3 linked regions of the Schizosaccharomyces pombe genome follow. The gene in region 1 interacts genetically with each later gene. Each region holds a gene or a part of one and is shown on either strand. Other genes may lie near its edges.

Region 1 (6,958 bases):
CCCGTCCGATCACTGCAGTTAAGCGTCTGAGGGCCTCGTTAGTACTATGGTTGGAGACAACATGGGAATCCGGGGTGCTGTAGGCTTTTTGCCATATATGTTTTGGTTTCCACTATCGTGCGAACGATTTCAATAAACAAACATTCGTGTTTTTTTCGCTTATGCAAATGGAAAATGTTCATACCAATTTTTAACTCCATAAAAGCCGATATTCCTTACAGAAGATTAACCCGATAAACCCTCGCAGTGATTGAATGAATTGAACGGAATGCTCGACGATTATTCGCAAAAATCTATTTTTATAAAATAAAACTACATAACTACATTATCAAGTCGACTTACTACTACATGAATTTTAACGCAAGTTGCTAATTACGAGCAAGCGCCCAAGAAAAAAGGTACAAAAAAGGAAGAATGAATTCAGATTAACTCTGTAACATTCAAAGTTATGTCGATAAATTTTACAACACGAACGAATCCGTTTCATTTGTAAACATGGGTAGGTTAGTAAGCGGTTTCCGCTAAATCAGCGATAAAGTGAATAGTTGCTAGAAAGAAAGCAAGAAAGTAAAAGAGATTTTCAAGAGACTGCTAAATGAGAAGGGAGATAGAAAAATAAGATGACAAGGAATATCACGGGAGGATAAATTGCAAGCAAAAATGAATGCAAAGGCAGTATAAGAAGTGTCCGAGCAATACACCTTGACAGATAATAAATGAGAGAAAAGTTTAACTCTGAAGAAAGGGGGTTTTCAAAGGTGATGCAGTAAGCAACCGACTTTGCACTATAAACAACTCTGGTATGCTCTCATCTACTGAAATGATATTACTTGTGTGCAAACAGCTTCATATCCAACCGGTGATAGTACTGATCAACACGTAAACAACGTATATTGGTGAATTCAGCTCATATATCTGAAGAGAGCGAAGAGGCAGACGAAATCATAAAGGCGTTAACAAACAATAGCAAAGGATGAGCCTTAAGATTAAATAATAGACAATAGTCAAAAGTCCCAAGAAAATGCGTTTACCAACGGTTCATAGAAATACTGCTACGAATACGGTTGTAGTCCAACAAACCCTCAATGGAACCAACAGCAGAAACAGCAATGTCCTTGTCCCAAATCATCTCGGAAGCAACGCGGGCTACATCTTTTTCAGTGATTTGACCGATACGGAGATCAACCTCTTGAGGGCTCATACGACGACCAGTTGTAAGCAATTGGCGACCAATGTCCTCTGCAATGGCGGTCGTTGAATCCAAAGAAAGTAAAAGCGAAGCACGGAGTTGTGCCTTGGCACGTTCAACCTCAGCACGAGTTGCAACGGTTAAACGAGCCCAGTTTTGGAGGGTAAAGTGGACGAGATCATCAATACGGCCAAGGTTCTCAGTGACAAGATAAATACCCCAAAGTCCAGTATCACTATAACTAGTACTGAAACTCATGAAGCTATTGGCAAGTTGATGTTGTTGAACAATAGTACTAAGACGAGAAGACAAATGGGGAGATGCTCCCATAGCACGGTCCCAGTTACCAATGATGGCTTGCATGACTAATGCAGTAAAGTAATCTGGGTGTTTCCAACTCATACCTTCAACAGCAATGGCAATGTTGGCAGTTGGTGAATCATCGTCACGAGCACGGATTTCAGACCCGACGAAACGAGGTTTGAGTCCACGAGGAGCACCAAGCGACAATTGCTCAGCTGAAGGCTCCAAATGGCCAAAATATTTTTCGGCGAGCTTTACAAGCTCCTCATGAGATATCGAACCGGCAGAAGAGATAATCATTCTATCACTACGGTAGTTGTCCTTAATATACTGGAGAAGGTCCTCACGGGTAAGAGATTCGATGTTTTCCTTAGGACCCAAAATTGTACGTCCAAGAGGATGACCCTGATAAGCGGTAGCATGTAAATGATCAAAGACTACTTCATCGGCCATTTTGTCAACCTCTTCTTGCTCTCTTAAGATGACTTGGCGTTCACGCTCAACCGCCGAGGCAGAAATGCTTGAATTTGTCAGGATATCGGCCAAAACGGCAACTGCATTAGGTACAGCGTTTTTGAACGCATGTGCATAATAAACGGTTTGTTCACGAGAGGTGTATGCGTTCAAATGTGCACCAGTATTTTCAAATTCCAATTCCAATGCTTTTTGGGAGCGATTTTTCGTTCCTTTGAACGCCAAATGTTCCAAAAAGTGAGCAGCGCCATTATTTTTTGCCGTCTCAGCTCTTGAGCCAGCATCAACGCCCACAAGGACGGTCGCTGTTTGGGCATACGGATGATGTTCCGTAGCAACTGTAAGCCCATTTTTTAAAGTAGTGGTTTCTGTTTTTGGTAAAGCAGTAGTCGCAAAACGACGTACTAGCTTTGGCAAATTCTGAAGCCTCAGCATAGTAATATCAATTCAAGCTCCTTTGGTTGGGTGGGATTCTGTGGATGGTAAAGGGTAAGTAGGTAGCAAGAAGGTATTCCGTAGAGGTGTAGCGTAATACGTGTTATCGAGGTCCCAAGTTCGAATTTCGGCAAATGACCAATTGATCCCATTTAATAAAAAAAGAAAACTAGCAATCCTTGAATCCCTTACTAGAATTTCCATGTAGAGAAAAATAAGAAGTTGACCATTCAAACAGAAACTTTCGGATTGCCTAGTCTTTGCCCTGTGCGCAATTTGCTATAAAGGAAGGAAACGAATGACCGTACAATCCAGTTCATGATATAATATATCTCTACTTAACATGGAGAATCTCATTGGTAAAAAACTATGTAGGGGATATATTGTTTCATCGGTATATTGAAAAGAATCTATATGACATTGAATCAGACAGGGTAAGACACTTCATCAGGTTAAGTTCGTATTCATCTACATTAAAAGGTTATTTATACTTAACGAAATTCTCTTTTCCATGATTTCCATTACAATATTTCGGTTAATACATTTTTAAAAAAATAACAGTCCAACTATAGAATTTTGACTAGCACCGAATCAAGCATTGTTATACATCGACTATTGAGTAGCTTGATGGTTTCTTTTTATGAGAATAGTTTTTTATATAAATGATATTAATTTAAATAAAATTTTCATCCTCTTAAAACCGTTTCTCTAACCTTTTTTTAAGCCAATGCAGCACCTTTATATTAGCATAATTGCTACAAGTAAATTTCTATAGCTTTATCTATATTATATTATTAAGTAAAAAGATTTACAGTAGATTATTGTTTTTTCACAATGTAGTGCTTTCCGTAAAATTTTTTTTGAAACTGCAGTAACTTTTGGTACTGTGTAATATTATAATAGATATTCAAACTCACCACAAAACCCATGTAATATTATATGTAGAAGGTAATTCGTTTTCAGCAGTGAATAATATTATTATAAAAAGTAATAACCAGGTTTTGAAACGACCTTAAAGACCGGAGATTCTTCTGAATAAACTTATTAATCTATTATATCTATTTAAATTTCTAGTCTTTACTCTATGTTATACAATTTTTCGTTTATGAGTAGATAGATTTAGGTTCTCATCGCCTATTTCCGGCCACTCCAAGCTCAACACATCGAGCTGTTGAATGGCCAATAATGTGGACACAAGATCCGCCAATACGAACTCACCTACTACCACCACCAGCTTTTCTTGGTTTACAAACAATATGTTACAAACACGTTTAGGACTTGGAGCACTTCGTCAAGGACGTCTTCTTTTTGCAGTTAAATCTTTTAGCACAACCAGTGTTGCGAAAATTTTCCCTCCTCCCCCTCAGACCATTAAGGGAACTGTTAATGATGCTGCTGTTTTCCCTCACCACAGTAAGCTCCACGGAAGCTATCATTGGGACTTTGAAAGAATTATTGCTATTGCCATGGTTCCTCAAGTCATGATCCCTTTGTTCACCGGAACTTCTCATCCCTTAATGGACGCTGCATTGGCTTGCACCTTGATTACGCATGCCCACTTGGGGTTTGAATCTTGTGTGATTGACTACTTCCCTGCAAGAAGATTTAAGAAGTTATCTCCTTTGATGCACTGGATCTTACGTGGATGTACTGTTCTTACACTTATTGGCGTCTATGAGTTCAACACGAATGATATTGGCCTTACGGAGGGTATTAAAAAGCTTTGGAAATCTTAAGCTTCTTTCCATGCAAACCCATATAACCCCACTTATTTTTTCATAATGATTATTCCTTTCCTTTTTCTTTTTTATTCTCCTTAATCCGTCATCTAGTAAGTTTTGGGCTTGAAACTTACCAGTTCAAACCCCAAAACTGCCAATTGATATTCTGCAGTTGATCTTTGCTCTTTTCTTGATTTCTGGCTTGATTGATCCTCTCAATTTATCTGTGTAAATCTGTTTAGCGCTTGCACAGTATGTTTATGTTTACCTTCAACGATAATTTTTCTAGTGGGAGTGGTTAGAAGACTATTCAAGTTTGTGGCAGCTCTTGTTAAGGTCCTTATGTCGACTTGAATTAATAATTCTTCCAAGACAAAATCCATTGAATTATTTTATTGGGTGTCCCATTTATTATTTATCGTTTAGAATGGGTCAACAATTTACCCATGTACGCTTCGTTCCCTTATTCTTTGATAAGGTATTAGAAGACATGCTCTAACGTTTACCGTTTTAATCTCATTTATCGAATGTTGCGTTACAATTTTCGATATTTACATAACGTTCTTAGCCATACTGTTGTATTTTGCTTTACCGAAGTGTCTTTACACATTGTTAAGCAATTGGGAGTGGAATCATATGCTTGCACTGTGCATGCGTCTCGGTTCCAAAAGTCGTACTCTGCTTCGATCGATTATTGTCAAAGATTTTTATTCTCCTCGAATTTAAAACATAATTATGTCAATTTGAATATTATTTTTACAAGTTGTATATTTCGTAGTTTGCGCGAGTTTTTGCGGTTTTATATCGCTGCCATCATGTGCTTTTTGTAATCTACCACACACTCACTAACACTTTGTTAACAAGTTCAGCTGATAATTTGCTCTTCTTCTGTAGTCTGTTGAAGTTGAATTCGTTTTGTTTTGTATTTTTTTCTAAATCGTTTTGTGGTGAAAATCACGATACAATAAGCGAATTCGAATTCTGAATTCGTGGTATCCCAACCTAAAACAGCTAACTGCTAAGCGTGTAAAAAGACTTTATTAGCTGGCTTTGTTTAACATTGGTATCGTTTTTGTTATTTTTCTTTTCCTTCCAAAGTTTTGTATGTTGATTTTCTTTTGTTGATCATCGGCTTGTCTCTTTTTGCTGTTGACTTACATTAAGTAATTGGTTTTAATCGTCAAATTTTGATTATTTCTTCACTTGAGGGGGTTTCTTTTTTTTTTTACGTCTCTTGTCTTTGATTTGGGTTCCTTACTATTATCTATTTATTTCGACATTTCCAACATTTATCGTTTCTATACAGTAACTCGCTTCTCTTAATTTTCCTTATTTAATCTCTAATTGGCTTGTACTATTTCTTTTTCGTTATTTCTTTTTATAATTTAGATTGCCTTTAAAAATTTTGTTTAGTTTCTTAAAATGTATACTACTACACTTTCAGTCCAGGGTATGACATGCACCAGTTGTGTGGCCTCTATCCAATCCATGTTGGAAGGAGTGGAAGGAATTGAACAATTCACTATATCGTTGCTTCTTGAGCGTGCTATTGCCGTTCATGATCCTAGCATTATCTCACCGGATCAGATCGCTGAGAAAATTGAAGATTGTGGATTTGATGCGTCTGTGATTTCTTCAACAGAGGGTGAACATGGTGTCATGGCTAATTATTTATTACTTTCTCCTATGCAGGCGGAACAATGGACCAAAGTACATAATCATATCAATGAACTGCAAGGCGTTTTGTCCGTCAATTGCTCTTCCTCCCCGGATGCAGCTATACGTGTCATTTATGATTCTGAGATTACTGGCCCTCGTTCCATCATGAAGGAAATATTATCTATGGGTGTCAAATGTACATTTCAACCAGTAGATTCCTCCACCTCTCGTATTCTGTCACTTCAACGAGGGAGTCAAATTAGAGTATGGAAAATCCGATTTATTATTTCAATATCATTCTCTTTGGCGGTGATGTTTTTACCCCAGATATTCGATTCTTGTGATTCCATGCGTGCTGCTTTTTTGGTCCCCCATTATTTTGGTATATGTGCTGGCCACATCATCAGCCTAGTATTATCCCTTCCCGTCCAGTTTGGTGTTGGAAGGGTCTACTATTCTGCCGCATATCATGCACTGAAAAGAGGAACAGCCAATATGGATGTTTTAGTATCTTTGGGCTCCACTGTAGCCTTCGCTGCCAGTATCTTTTTCATGATTCTCTACAGCGCTAGACATGCTGATAATCCTGCTCCTATATTTTTTGATACCGCTGATATGCTATTGACGTTTGTTACGTTAGGTCGTTATTTGGAAAGTAAAGCTAAAGGTTCTACATCAGCTGCTCTTTCTCAACTGTTGAGCCTTGCTCCTTCCAGTGCAACGATAATAGAAGACAATGAACAAATTGAGATCTTAGCTGATCTCATCGAGCGTGGAGACCTCATTCTAGTCAAGCCTGGCGAAATAATCCCTGTAGACGGTACGGTTGTTGAAGGCTCTTCCTACGTCGATGAAAGTTCTGTTTCTGGAGAACCCGTTCCAGTGCATAAAACAATTGACGATGAACTTTTGAGCGGAACAGCTAACGGGAATGGACGACTGCTTGTAAAAGCAACAAAATCACCTAGAGAATCACAGTTAGCTGTGATTGTTGATCTTGTTCAGAGGGCTCAAATCTCACATGCTCCTATCCAACAATTTGCCGATCGCGTTGCTGGAATTTTTGTTCCAGTAATTGTTGCTCTTTCAATTTCAACTTTTACATTTTGGTTTTTATTCACTAAATATTCTTCAAAATACCCATCGGTGTTTGATGATCCAATGGGAAAGTTTGCAG
Region 2 (5,162 bases), on another chromosome or scaffold:
AATTGTTCCAGGACAGTGACTTTTTACAGCAACTGAAAAGGAAGCAATAGTAAAATATCAGGTTAATAGGTTCATCATTGCTCAAACATTAGTCTATCAATCAGACAGTAACTTAATAAAAAAATCCAGTGAGCGATTTATACAGGTGAATTTTAAATGCCACAATTTCGTTATTCTTTATAGCAGACGAATCATGAAAGCGCAGTTTTTTCTGCTTCGGCGTCATCGGCTGATGCAACTGGTGAACCGCTTTTCTCGGTCCTCTGCATAGCTCTTTGTTGAACTTGCTCTTGATAAGTATTAGAAAATCTATCTGTAGCTAAATCAACCAGATTGTTAGTGGCCCGTTCCAAAACCATCTTCGCAGGCCAAATTAAGCCAGAAATATATAAACCATAAACCACAGTACCTCCAAACATAAGGATCATAAAAACGAATGGATTGCGGAGAATAGCCATAAATTCATTCCAACCAAGGACTATTAGCAATACCCAAAAGTATGGGGGGATTCTGGTGGTTGTATTGATTACGGAACGTTTGCAGTCCATAAATATCAAATCCGCAGATCTCTTGAAATTAACAGATATGTCGGACACACGTCTACGATTTAGAATAGTAAAAAATGAAGCTGGCGAGGTATACTCTGGCTCCAAAGTCTTTATGTCAACGTTCAAGTCCGGATAATTGCCATCCGAAACTTTAATAGAGGCCAAAACGTTGATCAAGTCTAACGTTTTGGTTAAACTTTCCCGATAATCACGGTCAATCGTTCCCGACTTCTTCCACAATTTTGGCATCCCATCACTGTCATATCGAAATAGTTCTTCAAAATAAACTCGTAAACGCTGCTGTAGTAAAACCTCGCTCATTTCAGAATCAATTTTCTTTCTAAAAAACAGCCAACTGTTCTTTTTAAAATTGATAATATATTCTTCCGTTGTTTTAGTATCATCAATATCCACATAAAAAGGAACAATATTTTTTATTTTTTCAATAGTAGTATTTTGAGCAGCTAAGAATTCATTGAGAAGCGTATCCCAAACGTTATGAGAAAGTTTTTGGAAAGCGACCTCAACAGCTTCCGAAACTTCAAACTCGAACCCAGTAAACAACTCTTCCAACTTCTCTTTCAACTTTTCCTTACAAAGCGTTTCGGAATTTTGGGTTAACTCTTCCGATAATTTTAGAATAAATGGATCAACATCCCAGTGAACATGTGGTAAAGACAAAGATTCACCTTCCTCACGCATTTTGTTGACAAGTTCGTTAATTTTAATAGAAGATGATTCTTTAAAAGGCGTATCAGAGGGAAATTCATTTGAGGCGTCAAAAAATGATTTAATAAGCTCCTTGTGTAGAGCGTTCAACTGGGCTTGGAAAAATACATAAAGATGAGAATCTACCGAAGCAATAAGCTCCTGCTTTTTCTTTTGATAGATATGCACGTTGTATCTACTAGCCTGTCGATCATAAGCTTCGATAACAGTTTCAAACATGTTTAAGAGCTTGGTAGGAAGGTCCTTGCATAAATTACCGGGTAAAAACTCTTTTTGTAAAATAGTACAAGCAGTAGAAAAAGGTTCCATTACTTCAGTAATAATCTCATCGCAACGATATTGAGCAAGCAATTGCTGTTGTGTAGGTAAATCAAGGTCCTTGTTGTTTTCAATGGTGTCCCATATCTCACGAGTATAAAGAGAAAAACCATCAGCGGGGATTTTTTTATGATAACTCACATTAAATATGTAATCAGAATTATTGTTATCCACAAATCTTTCACGCAAACTATCAACAGCTTCACTGAAAGCATCAGAACATAAAATCTTATGTGGTAAACCAGTGAAGCCAACATCAAAAAAGTCATTAATTACGGAATTTTCGAATCCTTCTGGTTTCGAAAGGGATGCCCAAATGTTATTCAAATCGGTCATAATAGTATCTGCTAAATTTTCCATTGAAGTATTTCCCAAAAAATCCCGAATAACAAATTGAAGCAAGCACCTTTCTTTTTTGTTATGAAAAAGTTGTAAATTGACTTCTAGTACTGTTTTAAGTAATGCCATGTTTGAGCCTTGGTATAGACCAACCTGATTTTCCCACATATTAACGATAATTACTTCACTAGTTGAAATGGAAAATAAAGCTGATTTTCTTTCAAAATCCTAGGTTGGTTAGTAATGACTCCAAAAGAAAATATTGATCAATTATGAGTAAAGGAAATACTAATGTGTAACTAATAGTAACAAATTAGTTCGCATTAAAATCTTACCTGATCTTCACCGCGCTCTCTACCATCGGTGCCTTCTACATCCATTACAAGAATAGGCGAATTGTTTGCCTTCGACAACCAAATACCTAACAAAAATTAGCAGCAAGCTCAGATGTTTTAATTAAAAAGAAATAATAGATTTACCTTTAGTAGTTTGTTGCCTTTTGGAAGCATCCATTACTGAAAATGAAGTCCCAAATAAATTATTTAGCAATGTACCTAATCATAGAGTTAATCAAATTTGCTCAGTGAAAGCTTTAAGTATCCAATTTAAAAGGATGTTATAACATTGGTTGGATATAGAACTCTCAAGTTGATTTTAATCTACTTACTCTTGCCAGTAGATTGGGAACCCAAAACGGCAACAACATGATAGTTGAAACCAGCATCTAACAGTCCTACGCTTTGCATAAACTTTGGTAATTCATTGTTGAATTGTTTATGTTCATCCACAATTTGTGTGGAAACCCTATTGGAAGCAGTACTCATGTTTTGGTGTAAGCGGAAGACAAGTTAACAAACATATAAGGTAGTGTGATGTCGAGGATGTAATATATCCTGACAACATTTTCAGTATTCATTAACAAATATATAACTATTTAAGTTAAATTATTGTAAAAAGACAGGTTTTGCATAATTTTGTTTATATAAATATCATGAAACAGATGATACTTTTCCTATAGTAAACTAGCAATGGCATAACAACACTCGTTAGCTCTTCCTTTCTAATGTTTACTAAGTTACTCTGCGAATGTTCAGATGTTTGTCTGTTAGCTCCATATATTTTCTTGTTAAAATTATGATTTTTAAAGAAAGAAAATACCAAGGATTTAGTTGAAGAAAGGAATGTATTTTAAAGAGTCATTCGGCCATTGTTTTGAATCTTTTCACAATGGTCTTCAAAGACTTATCGCATTTACAGACAGGAAATTTGTGCTTTTCTAAAAAGGAAACAGATTTGTATGTTTACAGAGAACAGTACTTAATAATAGGTATTAGATGCAAAATCAAGAGTGTAGCTTAAACGTTTCTCAAAAGCGCTTCGTAGTATTCGACGATATCGGTTTCATTCAATTTGTGAAGTGTTTTTGACGTTGCCGAATATGCTAAAAAAGTACAAACATACTATAATATAGCCCTTCGCAAGGTTGGAAATTATTTAATTTAATAAAATTTCTAGCATAGCTTTAGGAATCGAATTCTTTGTACTAATGTCTCACTATCCTATGCAACCTTCTTTCATTGACACGATGCGCAATTCAACCCATCGTTATGAGTACTTTATATAGGTGCGTAAAATAGTTAAAATCCTTTCTCATGGATTTTCTTCCTTAGTTTAGCTAAGAACAAAGGAGAATGGCTTGGGGAAAACGCGTTGTCTCCGCCACGCGTAAATATTATATATAAATGTTTGATGCTACATCGCGCTTTTACTATTTTCCTCACACATCGCAATTGTAGCAAATGGCTAAGGCGAAAGAAGTAAAAGCGAAACCTATTAAAGGAGAGGAAGGTATAATATTGACAAAAGGCATTGGTATTCAGCTAATCAATCGCAGCTGAAAAACTTGTTTACGAGTATTTACGAAAAACGAATCGTCCCTATTCTGCAAGTAAGAACATACATTAAAAAAATCGAAGCTGACAATTTTGTTAAAAGCTGACGTTAGTGCTAATTTGAAAAATGTTGTCAGTAAACAGGTCGCGCAGAAAGCATTGGAGCAGCTACGCGACACTGGACTAATCCATGGGAAACTATATGGTACTGAAAAATTAGTTAAACAGATTACTAACGATTACTGAGGAAAACAAAGTGTGTTCGTTTGTCTTCAAGATGACTTGGCAGCTGCTACTCCTGAAGAATTGGCTGAAATGGAGAAGCAAATTCAAGAACTAAAAGATGAGGTTTCAGTTGTTAAAACTCTATACAAAGAGAAATGCATTGGTCAGTAAATAAATGCTATTCTTTAAAATGTAGAATGATACTTCACATAATATGCATGATTTAAAACAGATCAAAGTTTTATTGATGGTATCGTTCATTTGTTTTGAGCGTACACAGCACTTGTTTTATGCTAACTCTAAAAGAATTACAAGCTTTAAATAACTCACTCAGTCCAGCCGAAATTCGTGAAAAAATTCAGAGCATTGATAAAGAAATTGAAGAAACCAGCTCAAAACTCGAATCTCTTCGAAATGGTACCGTTAAACAAATTTCCAAGGAAGCAATGCAAAAGACTGATAAAAACTACGATTTTGCAAAAAAAGGATTCTCAAACAGAAAGAAAATGTTTTATGATTTATGGCATTTAATTACTGATTCCTTGGAAAACCCTAAGCAGTTATGGGAAAAACTGGGATTTGAAACGGAGGGACCAATTGACTTAAACTAAAAACTTAACTTTAAATTTAGCTGATCCCTTTTTAACATTTTAATCATTAAATTTATATAGCTCAAAGAAAAGTCATTATCCATAGTTAAATATAAATACCTTAGCAGACAACTGCTCTAATATGTGCTTGCATTGCTGCACAACATTACCTGTCCTCTTGCTATACTGTGTGGTTATGACTAGTGCTTCTTACGTCGTGATAGCTTTGATTTTTTGGTTAAAGTAGAAAGCCTAGTGAAAGCATTAGATTTTGCAATTTAAGCTAATGTCTAATGCACCATCAAATACGCCAACAGGGTTTAATTATAAACCTGGGCATACTTTGTATATTCGAAATTTCGGAACGGATATGAGAGCCCGGACACTAGGCCAGGCCTTTGAAAAGTAATTGTTATTGAATGACTGATTGTAGATTACAACTTTGGTTTTCAGTCAAGTGATCTCTATTTTTGTATCGCATCTGTTCTAATTGATGATAATAGATGGGGTAGAATAGTTCG
Region 3 (7,794 bases), on another chromosome or scaffold:
AATCCAAAACAGCCTCCGTATTTTTTATACCAATGAGGGTCATAACATTTGTGCCGGAAATCAGATAATAAGACCTCAAAAATTGGAAGGATAAAAGCCCTTTCTGGATTTTCAAAAATCGATTCTAAAAAACTAAACATAAATTTAAGTACATGTTTCACAGCATCACCCATCTTGCTATTGTCATTACAAACGACTTCTGATAGACAATGAGCAAAATAATGAGGACTAATAATAACCTCCTTTTGCAAATTAGTCGTAAATTTTGAATGATTTCCTTGAATAACGTCAAAAGCATAAAAAATATCGTGTACAATTACGTTGACCGCCAGTTTTTCAAGCCAGAAGTAAGCTTCTTCGCGGAGTTCATCAACCGTCGTAGCAAAAAAAAGTCCATATGTAGCCGAGGCCAAAATTATGGTTTCATCTGAATCATCACTCAGTTGGGTGAATGAACTCCTTCCAGTCATTCGGCTCGGTATTACAGAATATGGTCGTCGAAAATCAAAATTACTCTTAGAAATCTTGTCTGCAGTACATCGAATGGATGAGGCTAAGCTGTTAGTAGCGTCACTCTTATAAACATAGAGCTTTGAAATATTGCAAACATAAGTGAACGCTTGTTGCTTAACCTCCAGATCACTAGAAGGGCTAGAAAGCAAATTCACAGCCTCATCAACATATTGGGTGTAATGTAAAAGTTGTGGTTGTTTAACCCCTTTTATCGAAAGAAGTAAAGTAAAATCGTTATTCGGTTCCGGCGAATTCTTTAAACTCTGGACTCTATCAAGAAGCTTCCTATTTCTTCCACCAAGTTTACCAAGTATTTTCAAGGCAGTATGGCTGTGATTATAATTATAAGGAAGAGGTTGTAGATGACTCCATAAAGCATTCATTAGATCTTCTATGTAAGGAGCCATTATCGGATCCAAAAAATCAGGAGTGAGATTATCCAAGCATAATTCAAAGGTTCGTAATCCCTGACTAACTAATTCTTGACTGCTTTTTAAAGACATGACGAGAGGTCTCATTAGATAACTCATGTATGGTAATAAAAGACTAAGCCTTACAGGAATAGTAAGACAAAGTTCGGTAAAAAGGTCTTTCTCCTTCGGAGTACGGGCAGATATAAGCAATGAATTAAATGCCTCTAATAGAGCGTGCAACAAAGGCATTACTTCTTTATAAAGGCTTTCAAATCTTCCCCCACCAATTCCTCGGAACAACGCTCTTAATAGATAATAGTAGTTCAATGAATTAGCAGAATTGGGAGCCAACTTCATACATTTCACAATAATTTCAGATACATAAGGCCGAAGAACTGGCTCATTCTCTGTTGCAAACATTGAGACTGTAACGAAAGAAAGACGAAACAAACGCAACAAGACAGAACCATGCCTGATGTCAGAAGATCCGAGTTCCTCAATTCTGGAAAGCAGAAATCGAAGTAAAATATTTAAAAATTTTGATGATGTGCTCTCATTTGAAAGCAAAAACTGTGGAATGTGAAATAATGTGAGATTTTTTTTAAGTTGATCAAAAAAAGTAGGAAGGTTTGTTTCAAAAACTTTAAGAAATATAGATGGCTCGAGATGTATAAAAATGGTAGCAAATACTTCAAGACAATCTTTCTCGTCTTTGTTACGAGGAAGCGTAGATATAGCAGGGCGATCTAAACTTTCTTCTTCGCAGCAGAAAAAAGTTTCTAAATAGACTTGCTCAGGTCGAAAATATGAGAATCCTTTGCCAACCTCAAAAAAAAGCTTCTGAAACGTAACAGCTTCGAAAGGCTTGATATTCGTAAGGAATCCCGAAAATTGTTCACCTCCAATTTCTATGCATCGAGACTTGCATGTACGAAGCCCATACATAAGAGCCCGTAAGCCAAACATCAAGTTTTTAAAAAGAAATGATCCATCATTGACGGAAGTGCTAAATGAAGATAAATCCCTAGGAGAAGAACGCGTCGGTGACTTTGTCTCTTTAATTTCTTCTTCATACTTTTTCTTAAAAAACTGATCCAAACTATCATTAAGTTCCGAAAACTTATTTACAAAGCTATCAAAAATAGATAAAAGAAGAAATATAGCATCGGGGATGCTAGGAAGACTAATCATTCTGTCAACCATGTTTAAAATGAGCCGGGCACCCATAGTCTGTAACCCAATGCTAAGAGTCAAATCATGCATATTGGTCGAATAAATCATTATAGATTTTCTTATTTGCGTTTCGTTAAGTTCGTCACGTACATGATGAAGTAAGTCAGCTAATGTACTAAATGCCAAGGGACGTAACAGCTTTTGAGTACCAACTCCATTTCCTAATAATATATTTAAATCTAACAAAAAATCCAGCTTTTTGACAAAAAGAGATTTTAAGTTTGTTGACAGAATATGTCTCGTAGCAACCAGCAGTTCTTTACGGGCAAAACACATATCAAAAGGGCATCGCCTCAAAAGCTTTATTACAATGTCCGGTATTATATCCTTCTCAGAAAGTGTATTGGGATGAGTTCGTAAAATATAAGCCAAGAAAGATAAAGTCTTTACTTGAGCCATAAAAAAATTACGGTACTGATATTTATTCCTTATAAACTCAATAAAGTCAATGCTTGAATCTTTTTCAATCATTGCATATGAAGCGATGTCTATTGGAACATCAATTTGTACCATCTTAAGAAAACAGGGAATTATGGCTTGAACACCAGGGAAAGCAGCTTGACGATATGCTTGAAGAATCAAAACTATAATGACCGGACACTCTACATACACGCGGAAACTTTGAGAAGCCAGTTCCAAAGGTTGAGTAGAAATAGCTAAAGAATTGACACGCTGTTGGATGATTGAAGTTTCCGTAGACAGATAACTACCAAAAGCCAGGGTTGTATTTTCCTCTTCATTTGATTTTGGATTCTCGACAAATATTGAGGGAATTAAATAAGGAAGGTTTGTAGAAAGCTCAAGTACCAAGTCAAAAAAGGGTTGTGCAGTGCTTTCTATACAAAACTTAAAAGTTTTGAATATATCCATAATAACTTTTAAGCAAAAAACAGCGACTTCTTCATTATCTGCTTTAATCAAGCTAATGAACGAAAGCACACAAGACTGCGCATATTGTTTAAATTCATCACGGTGAGCGCAACTTTGTATTAAAGTCAATGCTTCGATCTTGAGTTCATTGACAGAAGAATTTCTATAAAGATTCACCTCTGTATTTCGTAAAAAATCCAAGAGTAGTGGAATTAATTCTGCATACAGCTGCGAGGCGTCTGAAGATATGCTAGAAACCTTAGTAATTAAAATTTTAGTTAGTTTGATTTTTTCTTCTATTTCTTAAAAAAAGTTAGTATAAAATAAAAAAATGAATCAAAATATCTACAAAAATTTATATACCTGTACTTTCAGCTTTCAGTAGCTCTATAGAGCTGCTGAGCGACTTTTCAAAACCGTCTTCCATAACAAAGTTCGGTCCATGCAGATACTTTTTAATAAATCTTTGAAACCAAACTTGATACACTACGAGATTTTGGACACAGCTGTAAAAAAGCACAGAACGATTACTGTCAGATGTTGTTTAGTTGTTGCTATGTTCAAGGTGAATCGTATAGTGAGGACGCAAAACTGCACTATTCAAGAAGCCACTGAAGCTATTTGAAATCGACGTGAGTGTAATTTTTATCAAATACAATATAATACTGCTTTATAAACTATGACATGTTTGTACGATATAGAAGGTTTTTAAGAAGGAAAATATTATACAGATTTTATCATGCAGTTATCGGGTTTTTCTACAAACGGTTCCGGTTCCTTGAATACCATTGTATGTGAAAAACTTCTTTTCAAGCCTAACTTTGTTCAAGATTCTTTTATAATAGGAATGACTATTTTATGTTCAGTAATATTGTATGGGTCGGGAAATTTGCGCTACATAGATGCTTTGTTGTTGGCTTCTGGTTCTTGTACTCAGACTGGCTTGCAGCCTGTGGACCTCACGCAGATATCCATTTACCAACAGGTATGCATATTTTTAAATAAATTTTTTAACTATTTTTTAGTTAACTATTCTCCTTTTTGGAGTTTTGAGTACACCAATTACTGTGAACCTGGGCTTGACTTTGTTTAAGCTGTACTTCTATAACAAGCGATATGACATGGTCATAACAAATAATAAACTTAGGATGACATATACTTATCACACTGTAAGAAGAAGGGATACTCCAGAGCCTTCCAAAGTTGGCAATCGAAAAATTCGGGTTTTGTTAGACCAGGGTAATCAAATGCACCGGCCAGTTGCCCCAGAGACTAAGGCTGAGGAAGCTGAACACCAAGAGAATGAAAAACATCACAGGCACCATTTTCGTCTAAGGAAATTTGCTAATGCAATCGATCGCCCAAGCTTCTTTCGCGGGAATACCATGCCCGCTCTCCCTAGTTATGCAGGTGTTAGAAATTCTCAAGAAAATGAAGACAGAACTGAAGCATTAAGTCCAGCTCTTGGGAAACGAAGAATGGCATCAATCGACAATGGATCTTTATCCGTTGTACAAAACAATGCTAGAAATAATCCTGTCGACTTTTACATTCCTAGTTCGTTTGAAGAATCATCTTTTCAAACAATTCCTGAGGATTTTGAGCCTCAAGTACATGACCACGAGAATCAAACACAACTGAACCATCATCTGGATAACAACAGTTCTATCTCTTCGCACAATCCTTCCCTAGAAACTGCAAATGATGGTAATCAGGAAACTGTTTCATCCTCAAACTCAAACTACAGCACAACAAGAGTTGACAATGATCCACATGTAGCATCTTATTCACCTCAAAATTCGAATTTTGATCATCAGGCTGCTGCAACTACTAACGATGCACATCAAAATGTAGTACGCGGCTCTGCAATTACCATTGCACCAACCCCTGTTCCCAGGCATAATCGCAGGCCTATATATTTTGCTGGTAAGTCATTCCGTGATTTTAATATTGACCTTTAGATGACACGAATGGAGCTGAGCAGGAAAAAGGTGCTCATCGACTTGATGGACGAGGTAGAAAACGTGGTAAATCATTTGCTGTTACACCTACACTTCACAGGAATGAGCGCTCAATGTCTGTCCTACCATTTCAATTAGCCAAATCATTTACATCTGCTCTTCCTCGAAGACTCACATTCAACCGTACTCACACGAAAGCTAGCACAATGAGTTTACCTTATTTATCGTACAATGCAACAGTGGGCAGAAATTCTGCATTTTATGCCTTAACTCCAGTGGAGAGAGAAGAATTGGCGGGAATTGAATATGAATCTCTCAGGATATTGACTGTCATATTAGTGGTTTATTTTCTGTTTTGGCATATTCTTGGTTTGGTTGCGTTCCTAATATTCATTTATACTGCTAAAACATCCGGTCGTGTAGTTACGGACGGCGGTATAAATAGAGGCTGGTGGGCAGCGTTTACTTCTAGTTCGCTGTTTGATAATCTAGGCTATTCGTTGAACAGCGATTCTTTAAATTCCTTTCAAAAAGCCATATTTCCTCAGGTTCTTGGAACTATTCTGATATTTTTAGGGAATACTTTCTTTCCAATTATGCTCCGGTTTATAATTTGGATTATGATACGAACAACGAGATTTTCGCCTAATTTCCAGCAAGCTTTGTACTTTCTTTTCGAACACCCTCGACGAAGTTTTACTCTTCTGTTTCCTTCAAAAACTACTTGGGTGCTTTTTTTAAATTTAACTTTATTGAATTTTGCTTCCTTTTTCTTTTTTATGGTTTTAGACTTGGGTAATTCATATGTTGACAAAATTCCAGTTGGTTATCGAATTATGAATGCTATATTTCAAAACGCAGCTACACGTTCTGCTGGCTTTACGGTGGTTGATTTAAGCCAAATTGCTCCGGCAGTAATGGTGACCTACATGTTTATGATGTATATCTCTGCCTATGTAAGTATATTTCGATTTAAAGAGTTTTATGCTAACGTTTAATTTAGCCAGTAAGGACTTGCATGAACAAGCAAAATACTGACTGATCATTAGATCGCAATGAGTATTCGACAGTACGTTTACTTTATTATATAATTGATATACTAACAATGGACTAGAACTAATGTTTACGAGGTAAATGCGAAACTTTAGTAGACTTTAAACTAAATAGCTTTTTAGGAACGTTCTCTTGGAATATATGCAGCAGACACCGAAAATGATGATGATAATAATATTAATAATAATAATAATGATAATAATACGCCGAAAAGGAAAAATTTTTTGATGGACCATATACAAAGGCAACTGAGTCACGATTTGTGGTATTTATTCCTAGGCTACTTCATAATTACTATAGTCGAAGGTCGTCGATTAGAGTCGGAAGCGGAACCGGTACGTTGAAAGTGCTAAGCAAATAACTTATTAATTAACGGAATAGCAATTTACGCTTTTTGCTATTTTATTCGAGGTGATTTCAGGCTATGGCACTGTGGGCCTAAGCTTAGGTATGTGCATGTTCGCTTGTTTTAAGTTATACAATTGTGGCTTTCCCATGTGCTGTATTAACTCATAAAAGGGTACAAAAATGATCCTTCGCTTACGGCTCAGTTTCGGAAAATTAGCAAACTTGTTATGGTTGCACTACAGGTACGTTAAATGTTTTGTGCTAAGAAGGTTAAGGTGCTACAACTATTTCCTTTTCTGGCTTTTTTGCAAAAATATCAGTGTCTAATAATGGTTTAGATTCGTGGACGACATAGAGGTGAGTCACTAAGATGTTATCAAGAGAGAAGGGTATTAACGATTTTAAAAAAACAGGACTTCCAAGTGCATTAGATAGAGCAGTAAGTTTGAACTAAACACGATTTAAAGGGTGTTAGCAGATGATTTTGAAATGTCATGAGATGTGCAGTTTTGATGTGTTCAAAAAATCCATTTAGCAATGACAAAACCTTATAATTGAGAAAGGTTTTTATTTTCATCGCAACACACCTTCTTTCTATAGTTAGAAGATACACTTAAAAATGAATCTACTAACGGTTTATTTACTTTAGGTGCTAATGCCTTCGGATAAAAACTTTGACCGGGAAGAAGAGGATTATATGAGACGTCACGGGAAAAAAAATACTAATAGAGCAGACCCGGTACCCAGTTCTTAATGATTATAACCTCACGGTTGATTAGACTTACTTTCTATGAAAATGCAAGGCAAGGTCAGGAGCTAATGAAACTTGTACTGTATCTTCTGGTTCTGTGCCATTTTAACTGATTGGGCCTTAAAAGAACTTTTTGTTTTATTTTATTTTACACTTTTGTTTGGTATGTACATTTACTTGTTTTCACTACATTCGTTAAAGTTTTCATGTTTAGAATTTGTGGTCAATAAGAAATTTGATCAATTTATTTGTAAATAGTTATTAGTGTAATCAAAGTATATTCGGGAAGAAATGAGGGTAATGCCCGCCTGCGGGAATTGTGACGAGCTCACAAAAAGTCACTGTACTGTAAAGTGTTTGTATTGTCGCATTGATTTTATAGTATGTTTGTAGGACAAGATTAGGGTGTAGTGTTTAATGCTTAAATCGATTTGGGATGATGCTTATATGTTTTTAATCGTTCAAACGCTACCCGATAATTATGAGATCGACGATTTGCGGGATGAAAAAAAATTCGGTAAATGACGAATATGAAATGAACGGTGGTGTTTGCCGACAGTTTCGGTAGCAAAAGCAAAGGGAATGAAAAAATAAAGCATTAAACGGATCAAAATGAAACACAGCTTTTCTTTTTTTTTATGTCGGACATGAA

The links. Genes that interact genetically often act in the same process or in processes that back each other up.
Region 2: mutations in tim18 (region 1) and meu13 together harm fitness more than expected from each alone (negative genetic interaction), as found in Schizosaccharomyces pombe (one large-scale study listed by BioGRID).
Region 3: mutations in tim18 (region 1) and trk2 together harm fitness less than expected from each alone (positive genetic interaction), as found in Schizosaccharomyces pombe (one large-scale study listed by BioGRID).

What each region holds. Positions count from the first base shown.
Region 1 is NC_003423.3:2,032,443-2,039,400, forward strand, and holds tim18 (TIM22 inner membrane protein import complex and succinate dehydrogenase (SDH) anchor subunit Tim18), read left to right. Parts: upstream 1-3,617; 5' UTR 3,618-3,657; coding exon 3,658-4,137; downstream 4,138-6,958. Other genes in the region: MPP complex beta subunit Qcr1, read right to left, coding at 1,028-2,401; SPOM_SPBC29A3.21 (uncharacterized protein), read left to right, coding at 4,650-4,952; Cu(2+) transporting ATPase Ccc2, read left to right, coding at 5,545-6,958. UniProt on the Schizosaccharomyces pombe protein: Membrane-anchoring subunit of succinate dehydrogenase (SDH) that is involved in complex II of the mitochondrial electron transport chain and is responsible for transferring electrons from succinate to ubiquinone (coenzyme Q).
Region 2 is NC_003424.3:973,976-979,137, forward strand, and holds meu13 (homologous-pairing protein 2), read left to right. Parts: upstream 1-3,733; coding exon 3,734-3,782; intron 3,783-3,828; coding exon 3,829-3,882; intron 3,883-3,929; coding exon 3,930-4,031; intron 4,032-4,073; coding exon 4,074-4,214; intron 4,215-4,302; exon of another isoform or gene 4,303-4,357; coding exon 4,358-4,662; downstream 4,663-5,162. Other genes in the region: GTP-binding protein Sey1, read right to left, coding at 192-2,162, 2,270-2,355, 2,414-2,488, 2,602-2,758; SPOM_SPAC222.18 (Srp1 family splicing factor), read left to right, coding at 4,928-5,046, 5,145-5,162. UniProt on the Schizosaccharomyces pombe protein: Required for proper homologous pairing and efficient cross-over and intragenic recombination during meiosis. Acts indirectly in a process facilitating homologous recombination. Acts during mid- to late-horse-tail period.
Region 3 is NC_003424.3:255,381-263,174, reverse strand, and holds trk2 (plasma membrane potassium ion transmembrane transporter Trk2), read left to right. Parts: upstream 1-3,679; 5' UTR 3,680-3,713; coding exon 3,714-3,819; exon of another isoform or gene 3,820-3,859; coding exon 3,860-4,014; intron 4,015-4,054; coding exon 4,055-4,955; intron 4,956-4,990; coding exon 4,991-5,946; intron 5,947-5,993; coding exon 5,994-5,996; intron 5,997-6,039; coding exon 6,040-6,059; intron 6,060-6,104; coding exon 6,105-6,120; intron 6,121-6,165; coding exon 6,166-6,378; exon of another isoform or gene 6,379-6,424; coding exon 6,425-6,491; exon of another isoform or gene 6,492-6,562; coding exon 6,563-6,633; exon of another isoform or gene 6,634-6,729; coding exon 6,730-6,748; exon of another isoform or gene 6,749-6,804; coding exon 6,805-6,830; exon of another isoform or gene 6,831-7,040; coding exon 7,041-7,145; 3' UTR 7,146-7,294; downstream 7,295-7,794. Other genes in the region: phosphatidylinositol kinase-like protein Tra2, read right to left, coding at 1-3,331, 3,393-3,456.